Notamacropus eugenii: one gene and its partner. The protein of the gene in region 1 purifies or fractionates together with the protein of each later gene. This does not show direct contact. Links are inferred from orthologs where the notes say so. Each region holds a gene or a part of one and is shown on either strand. Other genes may lie near its edges.

Region 1 (7,322 bases):
CCAGGGCCAAACTTCCACGGCCCCAAAACAGAGACATTCACAAGGTCACACAAGCTATCACAATGGAAAGTCCTACAGAGACACACCCACATGCCCCCAACCCAGGTGCCACCTCCGAACCTCCAGGCATCTTCTCCTTCTCCCCAGTGGACAGCCCCAGCTGTTCAGCCAATTCCTTCTGCATAGGTCCCAGTGTGTCTTTGTAGGGACACCGTGTTGTCCAGTGGTCACCCTTGCAAATTCGACATGACACAATCTTCTGCCCCTTCAGCTTGTTCATTGGGTCCTCCTCCTCTTGGCAATTCAGGTCCTGGGGAGAAAAGAGGTTGAGATTGGAAATGCTTTGGCCTTCGGGGGAGCCTCCTACCCACCCCACCCTCAGGACCTCCTCCCTAAATCCTGTACTCATGAATTACCTCTTTGCTGGTAATAAATGTCATAGAAACATCATCGCTGACTGTAGTGGTGGCCACATTTGGACCAGGGGGATCAAACTGTGAGTTGCCAAATTTCTTCCAGTTCTGTGGATGGGAAAGGGTTAGAATAGGACCAGACAGATTGGAGTAACAGATCACAAAGCAGGTTGGGAATTCTCCCCAGGGGAGTTTAAGAAGTAGAAAGCTGTCAAGAAGAATGTGCTTCTAGAATGTAACAAAACAAAAACTATATCCCTAAACTGTCACTGATTTCCAGTCATGAGAAACTTTTGGCCTCCTGAGGCAGCCCACATGGAGAAGTTCAAATGGAACCAAGATCTTCCTTTCTGCCACTTCCATACACTGCTCCTGTCCCTCTCCTCCCCTCCCTGCAGAAAACCAAGTCTAATCCTTCCTCAACAAAACAGTCCTTTCAAATGGAAGGAAGTGAGGTGAGGAAAGCATGTTGTTAATCTTAAAATATTAAAGGAATAAATAAGGAGATATATTATCAATTGGCTTGTTTGTTGAGTGAAAAGTAATTAACAAAAATCTATGGAACTGAAATGGATTTAGTACTTACTTTTGGGGCAACAAGTTTACAAAATTATCCCTACCGTGGGCTATTCTTGTCTTCTAAGTCTGACTGCTTTTAAGTTCTTCCATCCCCAACTATTTTAGCCTTGGATCCAGCCTACTCATAGCTCTCATCTTTCCAAGGTGGAAAAATATTCATATTCTGCATCCATTCTCATGCCTATTCCTTTTATATATTCCCTTACTTTCGTTACTGTTCCCTAAATTTTTTTCCAATTCCAAGAAAAATTCCTTGTTTATACATGACCCAGAACTACCAATAAAGTTGCAGGCCTCCTCACTATTCCTAGCTTAAGAGGACATGTAAAATCATTAGGTCCAACTACTCACATTTATGTAGATTTTTAAGGTTGTAAAGAATTTTCTCACAGTTCTGTGAGTTAGATGGAGCTGTATTATGACCATTTTAAAGATGAAGAAACTAAAGTTCAAAAAAGTTAAATGCCCAAGAATACACAGCTGCTCTAAGTGTCAGAATCAGGATTAGACCTCTCCTGACTCCCAGTCTAGAACTCCTTCCACTTGATCAGGCTGTTCTATTCCATGATAAGGTAATGCAAAAGAACATCAAGAAGGGCCTTGAAGAAAAAGATAAGAAAAGATACACTGTCCAACCCCAAAATGGCTCTCACCTTTCTTCTTGCAACAGCCTTTGATGCCTTTCGAGTTTCAATCCTGAAGGTACGGACAATCTGGAAAATGCACAAGAAAGGAGAGGAGTGGGGAAAAATCCTTTTAGTGAGCAGTAAATCTCACACATGAACTGGGAGGATCCACCACCCTACTAGGTACCTAGTACTCCTGCATTCTACCTCTTCCTTTGAAACAATACTTTCGTCACTAATAGAATATATGTCATTAACTCCCCAATGACTTCAAACAGCAATCCTGTAACTTCTTAAACGCTTCAAAACGCTCCTTTAGCAAGGTAGATATGATGCCATTGCCCTATATGTGTGGTCTCCCATATTAAGAGAACCTTGAGGACAAGAATTGTATCCCTGTTGTACTTGCATTCTCGGGGCTGAGAACATTCAACAAATGGCTTTTTTTCATTCATGGGGTCCCCAAACCTGACCCAAAGGCCAGACAAGAAAAGATACAGAAACCAGCGTAGCCCACCTTGAACTTCTTGCCATCTTCTTCCACTTTATATTCAGTGATGGTTTTAATATTCCCGTTGATGACTTCCTTGGGGGCAGGGAGAGGAGCTGGGGAGGAAACAGCCCAGGAAAGGAACAGATGGAGAGAGACCCAAACATGACAAAAGCCTGCGCTCCCCGCAGGGAGCCAGACAGACAGGCAGACAGACACCCTCTCTGCCTCTCTCGGCTGCCGTACTCACCACCCGGTAGCAGCTCTGGCTCACTGTTGGGCTCTCCTGTGCTCAATGGAATCCCCTTGAGGAGCTCACTGGTGACACACTTGTCTGCAGGGAAGGGGCAGAGATCAGGCTAGACCCTGGGAGGCAGGCCGGAGGGAAGGAGGAGGAGGGGAAATGCCAGAGTGAGGGGGGGTGGGGAAGGGACGGCCAGGCGGCCTCTGGTCAGCAGGGCCGGACTCACCATCGTCTCCTTCTTCTTCCACCTGGTCGGCCCAGCTGGGCTTCGAGCTGCGGGAGGAAAGCGCCTTTCAGGGAAGCCGCGCCCCGGCGCCCCGGGATCCCTTCGCCCCGCTCCGAGCTGCCGTCCAGGCCTCGGCTCGGCCCAGGCGCCGGGGACACCATCAGCTCCCCGCTCCCGCTCCGGCCCCGGGCCTGAGAGAGCCCCCTCCGCCCTCCCGCCCCCAGCCTCGTCATCCGCAACCCCCAGGTCCCCCGAACCGGCCCCAGCTTCCTCACTCAAAGTCTCCAGTCGGCATCGTCTGGGATCTTCCACGCAGCCGGAGCCCGGGCCAAAGACCGGAAGCGGAAATGGATTCTAACATCTACTTCCGCCGCCTCTGCTGGAGCGCCGCCGGGCGCTTCCGTCGTCACGGCGCCCCCTGGTGGAGGAGGCTTCTCTCCTTCCGGCCCTGCTCTCCCTGCTCTGCCCTGCGTGTCCCCCTTCCTTTCCCTCACCCCGCCCCCATCCTACGATTCTTTCCCCTACAAAAGCGGAGGGATGGAGTGCTCCGAAGCCTCGGGCTTTGTGGGAAAGCTAAAGGCACCAGAGGACTTTGCTCTACACGGCAGCGGGGAGCAGGCCCCCCCCCACATTTCCCCAGATGGAGCAAACAGGCATAGTTGGGGGTGGGGGGGGAGGCTTCTGCAATGGTAAATAAGGGGATAGGGAGGGGTCAGACAGCGGGACGGAGTGCGGTGTGTTCGCTTCCTATTGAGAGATACAAGGAATTCAGCTGGCATAGAAGCTGTGCACTTGAAGGAAGAAGAGAGGCATTTATGAAGTGCCTACTGTATGCCAGGCACCGGGATGATCGATCACAGATCTCATTTGAGCCTCACACCAACCTTGGGAGGAGGACGCTACTATCCCAATTTTACAGTTGGGGAAACCGAGGCAAGCACAGGTCGAGGGACTTGTCCCGGGTCACACAACTAGCAAGTGTGTGGGGCTGGATTTGAACCGTAGCCTTCCTGGCTCCAGGCCCAGAACTCTGTTCACTGGACCACCTAGCTGGCTCTCTAAACCTGGAGAAGCCAATGGATAGAGTGAAGACGGGATTAGGTAAGGAGCCAAAAAACAAAACCAAACAAACCAAAACAAAAAAACCTGAGGTTCTGAGGTTTGGATCCTGGATCCGCCACTTGTATTCAGAAATCAAGTGACTTGATACAGTGCTGAACTCCAGTGTTTTAGCAGGAATTGAGATGTCTACAGTGACATAACTGCCATCCTGGCCCCTTTAGAACTAGAAACAGCTTGCCTTCCTTTGACCAAGAAATCTTCGTGTTGTCTTTTCATAACAGAGGATGCCTCTGACAAGGAGACCTCATTCTCCAAATGAAAACATTTTAAGCTGTGGCAAGCTGCTGAATCAGAAGTCCTAATGTGCCAGAGAAAAACTGGAGCAATTTCAGAAATAGTTTTGAGGTACGTAAGAGTCAGGAAAGATACTTGATTATTTAAAAATATTTATTATAATGTATATAAAAGCTGCAAAAACATTTCAGTCACTCGACATTACATTTAATAGACAATTCAAATAGTTTTAAAATCTAGACTCTATAAAATCACCTTACAATTTCATAGTTTAACAGTTTGATCATTAAAAACAGCTCAATGTCAGCAAAGGAGGTAGATGCTTCATGAGTACAACGGAATAAAAAGTTTGGCTCGTTAAGAAGAGTAGTCCATGATAGCTCTGTCCCTCATACCTCTTCTGTGATTTTAACTGAAGAGAAACAAATGAAAGACAAATTTAAGTTTGAATAGGAAGGGACAACGTAGTATTATAACTGCCAAAGTTGAGATTTTAAATGTTTTGGGTTAAATAACAATCCTATGAAGTATCTGCAAATGTCACACACACACTTCTCTCTCTAGAAGACAAAATAGAGCCTAGAGTTCTCCTCCACATAACAGTTGCTGTCTTAGACCTTGAAGGGTAAGTGTTTGGAATTTAGTAAAGGAAGCACACCCAGAAGAGGGCTCTCCCAAGTGATTTCCCTTCCATGACCTATAGTCTGCCTAGACTCAATGAACAATGAGAGGAGGAAAAAGGGATAGCTGAGCTACCCCATGCCACCCCTAAAATATAATAGCACACAATCCATTTTCCACACATTAGAAAGTCCTCTAGCCATACCTACCTGTGGCTTTCTCTTTCAGTTTGGCCAACACACAGAGCTTGATCTCCAGGCCAATGGCTTTGGCCAGGGGTGGAGGCACTGCATTCCCCACCTGCATGGGAAAGGGGGACAGAATTTGGTGTTGTGCAATAGGATCCTGTGCCTAGAAAGATCCCTGTGAACATCTTGGCTTTCAGCACTCTATCGGGCGACAGCAGCACCGACCAGGACTCAGAGGATTTGAATCAGGGTGCTATTTTACTCCAATGTAGAATTCTCATTCCATTCCCCAGTCTCTTTAAGTGGGTCTTATATGCTTAGAGGCCTCAAGGCCACCTCCTGCCTCCTGGTGGGAGAGCCAAATGCAGTTTGTATCTGATATTCACTTGGCAAGAAGATACTTCATTTTGTTAAAGTGTCAATTGTACTAAGTAAAACCTGATAGTTCCTAATGAACCATAGTCATTAGGACTATAGTCCTAATAATAGTCTCAGAAATGTGTTCCCCGTCGAATTAAAATAACTATAGGAAGTTAACACTCACCTGTTTGTGTTTTTCTAAGGTACTGCCAACGAATCTGTAGGAATCTAGGAATCCTTGGGACCGGGCACACTCCCGCACACTCACTAGTCGGTGCTGTTCTGGGTGAATCACTCGACCCTGTGGACACAAGAATCCATGCTATCAGTCCCCAAGTTTTGCTTTCTTTAAAAAGCATGAACTTACACTAGAGAAAAATAAAACTGACATATCTCCTTCCTGTAACACAATGGCCAAAAGCAGGATCACCACTTTACTGCAACAAATTTGTGGAGACAATGTCCTGGGATGGGGATCTCCATTGGGAGATGGATCATTGTAATTCGCACAAAGACAAAAGGATGGGGTTTTGGCCAGTGGCAGTGTGGGAGCTCCCTTCTGTAAAGGGGATCAAAACTAGTCTGACTTTCCTCTCTTAAGTCCAGGGGGAATTACCCAAGACCCAGGGTTATAGCTAATAAGCTTCAGAGGTGGGGAAATCTGACCCTGGGGCTTCAAAATAGCATTCTGTTTCTTTTTTTTTTTTTAATTTTTTTTATTTTTTAATGTTTAACAATCACTGCCATACAATTGAGATTTTATCCCCCCCACACCTACCCCCCACTACCCCCCTCCCTCCCCACGACTGCATACAATTCTGTATAGGTTCTACATATACTTTCCTATTGAGTATATTTTCACTATAGTCATGCTATGTAGTCAGACTAAAATAAATGAAAGAAATCATAACAAATCAAAACATGATACACAGACACATACACATACACAAACATGATCTGCTACATTTTGCGAATGACTTCCATATTTCTTTCTCTGAGTGTGGAAGGCATTTTGCCTTGAGAACCACCTTTGGGATTTTTTTTTTTTATAAGAAGTTTTTGCATTATTACAAAATTCCAAGTCTACCAGAAAAAACTCTCGCACACTGTGGTCGTTGCTGTGCACAAAGTTCTCCTGGTTCTGCTCCTTTCACTCAGCATCAGGTCATATAAGTCCTTCCAGGCCTCTCTGAAGTCTTCTTGTTCATCATTTCTTATGGCACAATAGTACTCCATTACATTCATATACCATAATTTATTCAGCCATTCCCCAATTGATGGACATCCCCTTGACTTCCAGTTTTTGGCAACTACATAGAGTGCTGCTATAAATATTTTTGTACATGTGGGACCCTTTCCCATTTTTATGATATCTTGGGGATATAGTCCTAGTAGCGATATTGCTGGGTCAAAGGGTATGCACATTTTTGTAGCCCTTTGGGCATAGTTCCAAATAGCTCTCCAGAATGGTTGGATGTGCTCGCAGCTCCACCAACAATGAATTAGTGTTCATTCTGTTTCTATATATGAAACAAACCTGATACCAGCTTAGACCATCCTCTAAAGCAATAGGGTTATGTGCCAGTGATGGGTGAGCCTCAGTTTATAGCTCAGTGGTTGGTAGTGGCTATCAACATTTTTTAAAGTTTCTACAAAGGTGAGGAGGCAGAGCCAAGATGGCGGGGTAGAAAGATACATATACTCTAGCATTTCCCCCACAGCCCACAAAATACATGTAAAAAAATGACTCTCAAATTCTAAAGCAACAGAAGCCACAGAACAACAGAGTGAAAGAGGTTTCCAGCTACCGGTAACCTGAAAGGCCAACAGGAAAGGTCTATCTCATGGGACACTGAGCAGAGCCCAGCCCAGCCCTGGCTGTGCAGCATTGGGAGGAACAGGACCTGAACAGACCTCCCGGGCCAGAATACCCAGCAGGGAGGGTCCCAGATCCCTCAACCCACAAGCAACAAAGAAAGCTCCAACGGTCAGGTGGGAGGGCTTTCCCAGCTGGGTGAGAGGGGAGTGGGGTTCCCTCAGCACTGGCCCTAGGCAGCAGGGGCAGCAGGTGGCAGGAGGCTATGCTGAAGCAGCCTAGGTCTATTGTCCAGGTAGTTCAGCTTAAAGCCTCTGATGGAATTGAGCAGCTGATCTGAACCTCAGCCCTCAGTGGTGGCCCCACTCCCACTCAAAGCCCCTGGGGGAGTTGAGCAGCTGAT
Region 2 (7,531 bases), on another chromosome or scaffold:
TCTGGAAAGAGCAGTTTACATACTGATTGAAAAAGCATTTTCAGAACTGGTACAACAATTTCTGCCACAGAGTCCCATCTCCCTCCTCCACACACTTTAGACAAAGTTTTTTCAGGCTTTAAAGTAAACCCAAATCATTCTAGCTGAATGCAAATTCACTTAACTAAGGAATTTCACAGTTGGTTGTTCACCTAAATTCATAAGAAATATTACTGAAAAAGAAACTAAGCTACCAGTGTCCCTGAATGTTTGGGATTTTGAGAGCAGAAAATATCTTGACAAAATAATGAGCCAAGAATTTCTTCTGTAGACCTTCTTTTGAGCCAGCAGAATTTTAAATGTCTTTGCCTCAAGTTTTACGGAGATTTTTGACCCCAGAAAGCTATTCCATGTATTTGCCAGCCCTTGTTACATAGTCTATCCCAGTGAAAATAGATGTCGCCAAAGCAGCAAAGAAATTCAGGAGAAACTTCTCACAATGCTTGTTTCCTCCTCATCCTCATCTCATTGAATGCATGGTTTGATGTACTTTCTACACCAATTGCCGAATTTAGGGGAGTGTTTTAAAGTTTTCATCATCAAAATCATAAAATCTTGTACATCTTGAAAATATCAACATCCTTAACAAAAGATTTTAAAGTATCTCAGATAAATCTCCAAATGTCACCTGAGTGATCAGAACCAAAACTCTGGGCAGATGGAACAAATTCAATCTTGGGAGTTCATGTGGAACGTTTTTTTCATTACTTTTTTCCTGAGCCTTTGCCAGTACAGCACCAGCACACTGTAGCGTCAACCTGTAGTACTCTAGTGAGACTCCTGCTAGCAACAAGGCAGGCTTAAGCTTTGAAGTTCACTGAATAATTTTAGGGTTATCTACTGACTTTGAAGAAGGCACCATTGAAAGAGTTTTGCACACTATCATGGTTGTTTCAGAGCGCAACAAATTGGGAAAGGTAATCAGGAGAGTGGATGCTGTTGGAGAGCTGAGTGAGATAGGGGATACCATGTTTCCTAGAGACATACCCAGTGTTGGGGCTATAAGGTAGTATGCTAGGTATAGTTTTATTGCATGGCACAGGTTCCTTTTTCTTCTTTGTCTTTCCATTGCTAAGACGTGAACTCTTGTCTCAGGTCTTCTTTGTTCCACTGATGAAGCTTTTATCTCAGTAGTGAATCAGGTTTGCTGCTAGTTCATATAACTGAGCTATGCCCTTGTATTTGGCCTTTATACATAAACATGAACTCTATTCCTTGGAGTGGTGCCTGTGTAATGTGCCCCTCCAGGAAGTCACATGCACTGAGAAACTAGGACACCAAAAACTCCAGAGATTTCCTGAGGGAGAGGGCAGAGAGAGGGAGAAATATTACCAAACTATTGCCAAAGATATGAAAGGACAGGATTGGCAGAAGAGGAAGCCACAAAGGGAAGGAACAACTTAAAACCTCTCTGTTGGTGCTATAAGTTTGCAACAACTATATATGTCCCTATAGAAGATAAGACTCCCCATGAGGAGTGACTGCTTGACTCAGTTCTTTTTCCAGTGGGAACAAGGGGAACCTCCAGACCAGAGGGGCACTCTTAAACACAAAATAACTCTATAGATTACTGAAGAAGATAAGGCTAACCACAGGAGGTAGTTTTCTTTACTGTGGACTTGGGGACAAGTTCTTTCTACATTTTTTTTTGTGTGTGTGTAATAAATTTGTTCTGCATTCCATGCCTTGTTACCTTAATGTTTGCAAAAGAATGGAAAACACCTTGATGAAAACTAAAATGAGCCAGATCTAGTTATTCCCAAGGAAATCCTGGGCAAGGTCGTGAACAAAAATAAGTACAATATAAGTTCCTTGAGAGCAGAGATTCTTAGGTATGTCCTTGTATACCCAGCACCTTGCACATATTATGTGTTTAGTAAGTGCCTGCTGAAGTGAAGTAAGCTGTTAAAACTCCCAAGATAGGTTGCTTGGCATAATGCACAGAGCACCTGCCTTAGAGTTGGGAAGACCTACATTCAAATCCTACCTCTGACACACACTGGTGGTATGACTGACTAAGTCACTAATCTCTCAGTGTCCCTAGTCAATTATCAAGACTATAAAATGTTGACCGAGTGCCAACACTTGCATTAGCTGAGAGAATTTCCTCATAGGGTGTTTCCTATGCCAATGAAATCACAAATCTAGTCCAAAAAAATGTAAAAAGACCAAAACTCCAAGAAAGAACACCTGGGTTACATAACTATTTCATCCAAATTCAACTGATCTCAAATAACTCCAGACACTGACCTGCCTCTCTTCACACAGCATATGATCTTTAGTATTCAAGACTACAAGAGAAATATACCACAGCACATCATCTAGTTCAAAAGGTGTACAGTATTATTTCTCTCCCAAAAGTCTTTCTATAAACAGTTAGAGTCAGATCTTTAGGAGGAACAGAAGATAACTTCTGCTGGGGAAAAGCTGCTGACATTTAATTTCTCATTCTCCTCACTGAGCTAGATTCAGGTTTCATTTTAGGTAGATAGTAAAAAAAATAACCCATGACAGGAGTGGGGCAGAAAAGAAAGAATATCAGGATTCTTAATTTGAGGTCCAATGAACTTTTAAAAAAGTTTTTCAAAATATTGATTTCCTTTATAAACCTATTTTAATATAAATATTTTTAAAACATTATTCTGCAAAAGGGGTCCATTACACAAAAAAAAGGTTAAGAGCCCCTGATCTAGAAAAACATTAGCACGTCTACTTTCCCGCCTCTTTGCCTTGGCTCTTGGCATTCCTGACTACTTACCCTTCAAAGCCTAACTCAAATCCATTCCCATGCCCCTGGTGACACCTTATTTTCTCTCTCTAATGCATACATCATGTGATCCTAAATACACTGTTGAAATATTTCTCGAAATTCTCCTTCTAGCCCCTAACCGGAGGCTAGCTTCCATGTGTCTGAGGAATAAAAGTTAAGGTTTTGTGGGGAAAAGTTTACCATCTCTCGTTTCAAATTCCGGGCCCAGAGCTAGATTCAGATTTCACCTTGGAAAAATGAGAGGCAGTGTGGTGTGATGGAAAGGTCTCTGAAAAAAACCCAGAAATAAAATGAAATTTTTTCAAAACTACTGCTTTTAGACAGAGGAAACACAAGAGCCGGCTGAACTCGGCAGGGTTCCTGCCTTGCCTGGGGGTAAAGAAAAATTAGAAAAAACACTTTTTTTCTTACAACTTCTCTGAGTAGAGACCTAAGTACCCGAGGGAGTAACCAAAGGGACACGCGGCTTGGCTCTCTTTTCCTTCCCGCATCAGAGCTTTGTGGCTGCTAATTACCCCCGCGTGCCGTGGGGCTGCGTGCCTCAACACCCACTTCAGTCGCGTTGAGTCACCCTCGGGGTGTTCTCCGAAGCAGCACCAGGACTCGCACGTGGACGCGCAAGGGAAGCCACCTCCGCGTCCCCGGCGCTGACCCCTTGACCTCAGGACGGAGGCGCCTGCGCAGTGGCAGGAAAGGCGCGCGCCACGGTTACCCCTAGAGGGGAAAGCGCGAGAGCTGAAGAAGAACCCCGGTGACCCGGTACTGGCGGCCGGGTAACGAAACCCACACCATCATGTAACGACAAACCCCACCCCCAAGAAGCGAGCCGGGGCGCCAGAAAGGCGGGGGTTGGGGGTGGAGACGGGAAGGAAAACCAACCGCCATTTTCCTCCCGCTTCGAGAACGAAACGGACACGCGCGCGCCCCGTCAATCCTCGGGACCTCCTAATACCCCCAACCCCTCCGGCTTCCGGCGGGTCTCGCGAGACTGCATGCTTCGAAATCTCGAGCCGTCTTCGTCGTGCCGTACCTTGGGGTTGCTGGTTTGGTCGAGGGGTGGGTGTGGAGAAGGGGAAGAGAGAAGACAGGGCAAGGCGGCAGACCTTGATTGACACGACCCAGCCGCTAATGGTGTGCAGACTCGAAGGGCTCACGGACCAATTGGCTGGCATGGGCGGGGGCGGAGCTTTGGGGAGGCGGGGGAGGGACGAGAAGCAGAGGCGGGCCGGAGATTGTGATTGACTCGACGTCCTGGCCAGTGGTGCGTGAGTTCGAGCGGCCCATTGGCCAATAGCTTGGGACTCTCCGCAAGGGCGGGTGTGAAAGCAGGGAAGCGAGCCGCTGGGGGAAGGCAGGAGGCCGTGATTGACAGGAAGCAAAGGCCAATGGCGCGCGGGCTCGAGCGGCCCACCAGCCAATGGGCCGGGATGGCCGGACCAGGGAAGGCGGGGCCTGGGGGGGTAGAGTGATCGCGGCGGCGGCATCGGCGTTGTTCAGTCAGAGCGAGAACATTCCAGAGGTGAGTCTGAGGTGGCTTTGGCTCCTGCCCCGCGGGGCCTCCTTACTGTAAAGCCGCTGTGGGCCTGGGCTGCCGGAAGGACTAGGGGCCCCGGGGCGGGCGGGGGGGATAGCTAGGTTGCGCTGATGCTTTTTTTTCTCGCAGGGACTGTCCCCTGCTAATGGCGCTTGGATCTCTTTCTCTGCAGGTCGCCAGGCTCCCAGGTGCCGAAGGGTGTTGCCTCCCCCCGGACGTCGCTGGGACCGCCCCCCCTTCCCCCCCGCTGGTCGGCGGCGGCACCTGGCTCGGGCCGCTCCTCCCGCTCCGCCTCCTCCTCCTCTTTCCTCCTCCTCTTCCCTTCCTCCTCCTCCACCTCCTGCTGCTGCTCGGACTCTTGCTCATACCGCGCCTCAGACACTTCATCCCAGTCCCGGGCGAGCAGCGTTGGGTTTATGTCTTTATTTGACGAAAACGGTAAGTGGAAGGCGGGCGTCGGGGCTTTGGCGGGACGGGGGCGGCGGCGGGAAGCGTGTGAGGAGGCGCCCCGGCCCTAGGGAGATGGCGGCCGCACAAAATGGCGGACCTACTTCCTCGTGACCTCCCCCCCAGTCGCGTGGCGCAGTTTACTGCGCGAACCCCCGCAAGTTGGGAGAGGAAAGGGGAAGTCCCCGGGTCGGCGGGTACGACCCCCCGCCCCCGGGAAGGGGGCGCACCCAGGCTTGTGTTTGGCGAACGGCCGGGGAGGGGGGTGGTGATCCTGGCAGCTTTGCGCATGCGCCACGCCTCCTCAAAAGCTGACTCAGTGCTTAATTGCTGCATTTATGAGTCATCCCGGCCGGCTGGGGGAGGAGACTGGCGCGGGGGAGGGGAGAGCAGAGGCGAGCTGGGCCGCGCCGCAGTACTGAAGGCCTCGCCGCCGGCCCTCGCTGGCCATTCCTTCTGGTCCTTTCTGCGGGTTGTCGCCTGTGGGTGCGGCTGCTGAGGGAAAAGGTGCCCCGATCTCGGAGATAGCTTGGGGCGAATCCCGTCTGCTTCTTAGTGTGAACAGCTCTGGGCTATCGCCTGTTAGTGCTCCGCTTCTTGATCTAGAGAGAACTTACACTTCAGGTCTTCATCAGCCTGATGTCCGTGGTTGCGTTAGGATCCAGGTAACAGTGAATGTGCAGGCACCTTTTTCAAGATAAACGGAAAATCTAGACCCGCCCTAAGCTGCTTACTTGAGTTCGTTAAGAGATTTCGTTTGGGTTTTTATGCCCTGTGTAGCAAAACGGTGACCTGTGCCTAGAATGTCCTCGTTATCTTCCTGATTTGTATTTGGAACGAGAATCTCTCCGTAAAAGTAACATAGGCTTTACACTGAGCTTAGAAATGCACTTGTATGTTTTATTTCGTAGAAATTGTTGAATAAATACCCAGTATCAGAATACTAGCTTAGACTTGTTTTCTTTATCCTGATGCGTTGAGGAAACCGGTTTGGAAAATGCAGCAAAGGTGAAATAACCTGTCAAAAATGGATACAAAGGAGAGTAGAGGGATTTAAATATCTAAAGAGACTTGATAAAAATAAAAAAAGAATAGGTATAGTTGAGGCTCTTGACTGTGGCTTTAAAAAGCAGGGGTCCCGTTATCCCCACACACACCCAAGAGAAAAGGCTATGTTGGTTTCTTGCCAACAGTTTTCTTGTGTATTCTGAATTAATCACAACATTTTATTTGGGTTTTTTAAGCCTCTTTCCCCCCACCCATCCTTTTTAGTGATTCTCTGTATACTACACTACATCATATGTAGATGTAGTTTTTTGAGACTGATAGGACAGCTTATAAATCAGCAAATGGGGGGGAGGGGTTCTTCTAGAAGTCATTAAATTTTGTTTGTTCTCTCTCACCCTACCTCCCTGTTCTGTTTCAGAGCTGTTGCGCAGCCATTGGTACCTGTATTGGGGAAATATAGCATACAAGCAAGACGCTTACAGCCTCTGTGGCAAAAACTTTTTCATGTCAGAGACCGAGAACTCTTGCAGTCGTTTATGTCATCCCTTCTTCTCCAGACAGAAGATACCAAAAAGTTGCAATCAAAGATCTCTTCATCTTATTGATAAAACTACTACTAATAAGCCAAAATGTCTGTCAACGTCAACCGCAGCGTTTCAGATCAGTTCTATCGCTACAAAATGCCCCGTCTGATTGCTAAGGTAATATTTACTGATTTAATTTTTCAGTTGGTTTGGGAGGACAGAGTATGGGTAAGTCTGAACAGCTTGGTGTTCTATAATATCTTTTGTGGGTCAAGTGGCTCTGTTAGTAGTATTTGTGTCCTTTAAATATGAAGATTAATGGTCTACATTTATAGCATGGAAATGACTATTAAACTTTGCTTTTTAGGTTGAGGGCAAAGGAAATGGAATAAAGACAGTTATAGTCAACATGGTTGACGTTGCAAAGGCGCTTAATCGGCCTCCAACGTGTAAGTAATCTTTTGAAGAAATGTGAACAAATTAAAAATGCTTGTAGTTTTTATCAATACATTTATGATCTGAAAGCTTGTGTTTTGGGCTATGGATTGAGTCATTCGAAACAATGAGAACACAGAACTAGGTTTCCATTTTCTTTGTGTTTAATTTGAACTCTTTAGTGTATGCGTGTCTGTATGTAAGCAGTATTTTTTAAAATACAGACAGCTCCTAATATGGAGTACTGGGTGGGTGGGTAGATAATAATAATGTAGTAAACAGCAGTGAAGCAAAATCTCTTAGTTCATTTACTTTTTTTCCCTCTTAAGATCCCACCAAATATTTTGGTTGTGAGCTGGGAGCACAGACCCAGTTTGATGTTAAGAATGACCGTTACATTGTCAATGGATCTCATGAGGCGAATAAGCTGCAAGACATGTTGGATGGATTCATTAAAAAATTTGTTCTCTGTCCCGAGTGTGAGAATCCTGAAACAGATCTGGTAAGGGAATTGTTTGCGCAGAAATGTATGTGTTGATGTACAGCATCAATATTAATATTATTGGGTCTTTAAAGCTAAGTACATAATCTATATGTGTAAGTATACTCTCTGATCTGAATACTGTGCTAAATTCATTTAATATTTTCTTACTGACAGCATGTCAATCCTAAGAAACAAACAATAGGTAACTCTTGCAAAGCCTGTGGCTATCGAGGCATGCTTGACACAAACCATAAACTCTGCACGTTCATTCTCAAGAACCCACCTGGTAA

Evidence for each region. The genes of interacting proteins can lie anywhere in the genome.
Region 2: the proteins of EIF3G (region 1) and EIF5 purify together in Homo sapiens (affinity purification with western blotting; 3 studies listed by BioGRID and IntAct, with this or other methods). This does not show direct contact. The link is inferred for Notamacropus eugenii from reciprocal best matches to the Homo sapiens genes EIF3G and EIF5.

The regions. Positions count from the first base shown.
Region 1 is NC_092875.1:80,027,561-80,034,882, reverse strand, and holds the start of EIF3G (eukaryotic translation initiation factor 3 subunit G), read right to left. Parts: upstream 3,009-7,322; 5' UTR 2,940-3,008; coding exon 2,854-2,939; intron 2,626-2,853; coding exon 2,579-2,625; intron 2,443-2,578; coding exon 2,359-2,442; intron 2,225-2,358; coding exon 2,136-2,224; intron 1,706-2,135; coding exon 1,646-1,705; intron 522-1,645; coding exon 417-521; intron 311-416; coding exon 121-310; intron 1-120. Other genes in the region: DNA (cytosine-5)-methyltransferase 1-like, read right to left, coding at 4,324-4,346, 4,765-4,855, 5,288-5,404. UniProt on the Homo sapiens protein: RNA-binding component of the eukaryotic translation initiation factor 3 (eIF-3) complex, which is required for several steps in the initiation of protein synthesis.
Region 2 is NC_092872.1:349,845,586-349,853,116, reverse strand, and holds the start of EIF5 (eukaryotic translation initiation factor 5), read left to right. Parts: upstream 1-4,515; 5' UTR 4,516-4,781; intron 4,782-4,947; exon of another isoform or gene 4,948-5,455; intron 5,456-6,216; 5' UTR 6,217-6,427; coding exon 6,428-6,499; intron 6,500-6,689; coding exon 6,690-6,771; intron 6,772-7,086; coding exon 7,087-7,259; intron 7,260-7,415; coding exon 7,416-7,527; intron 7,528-7,531.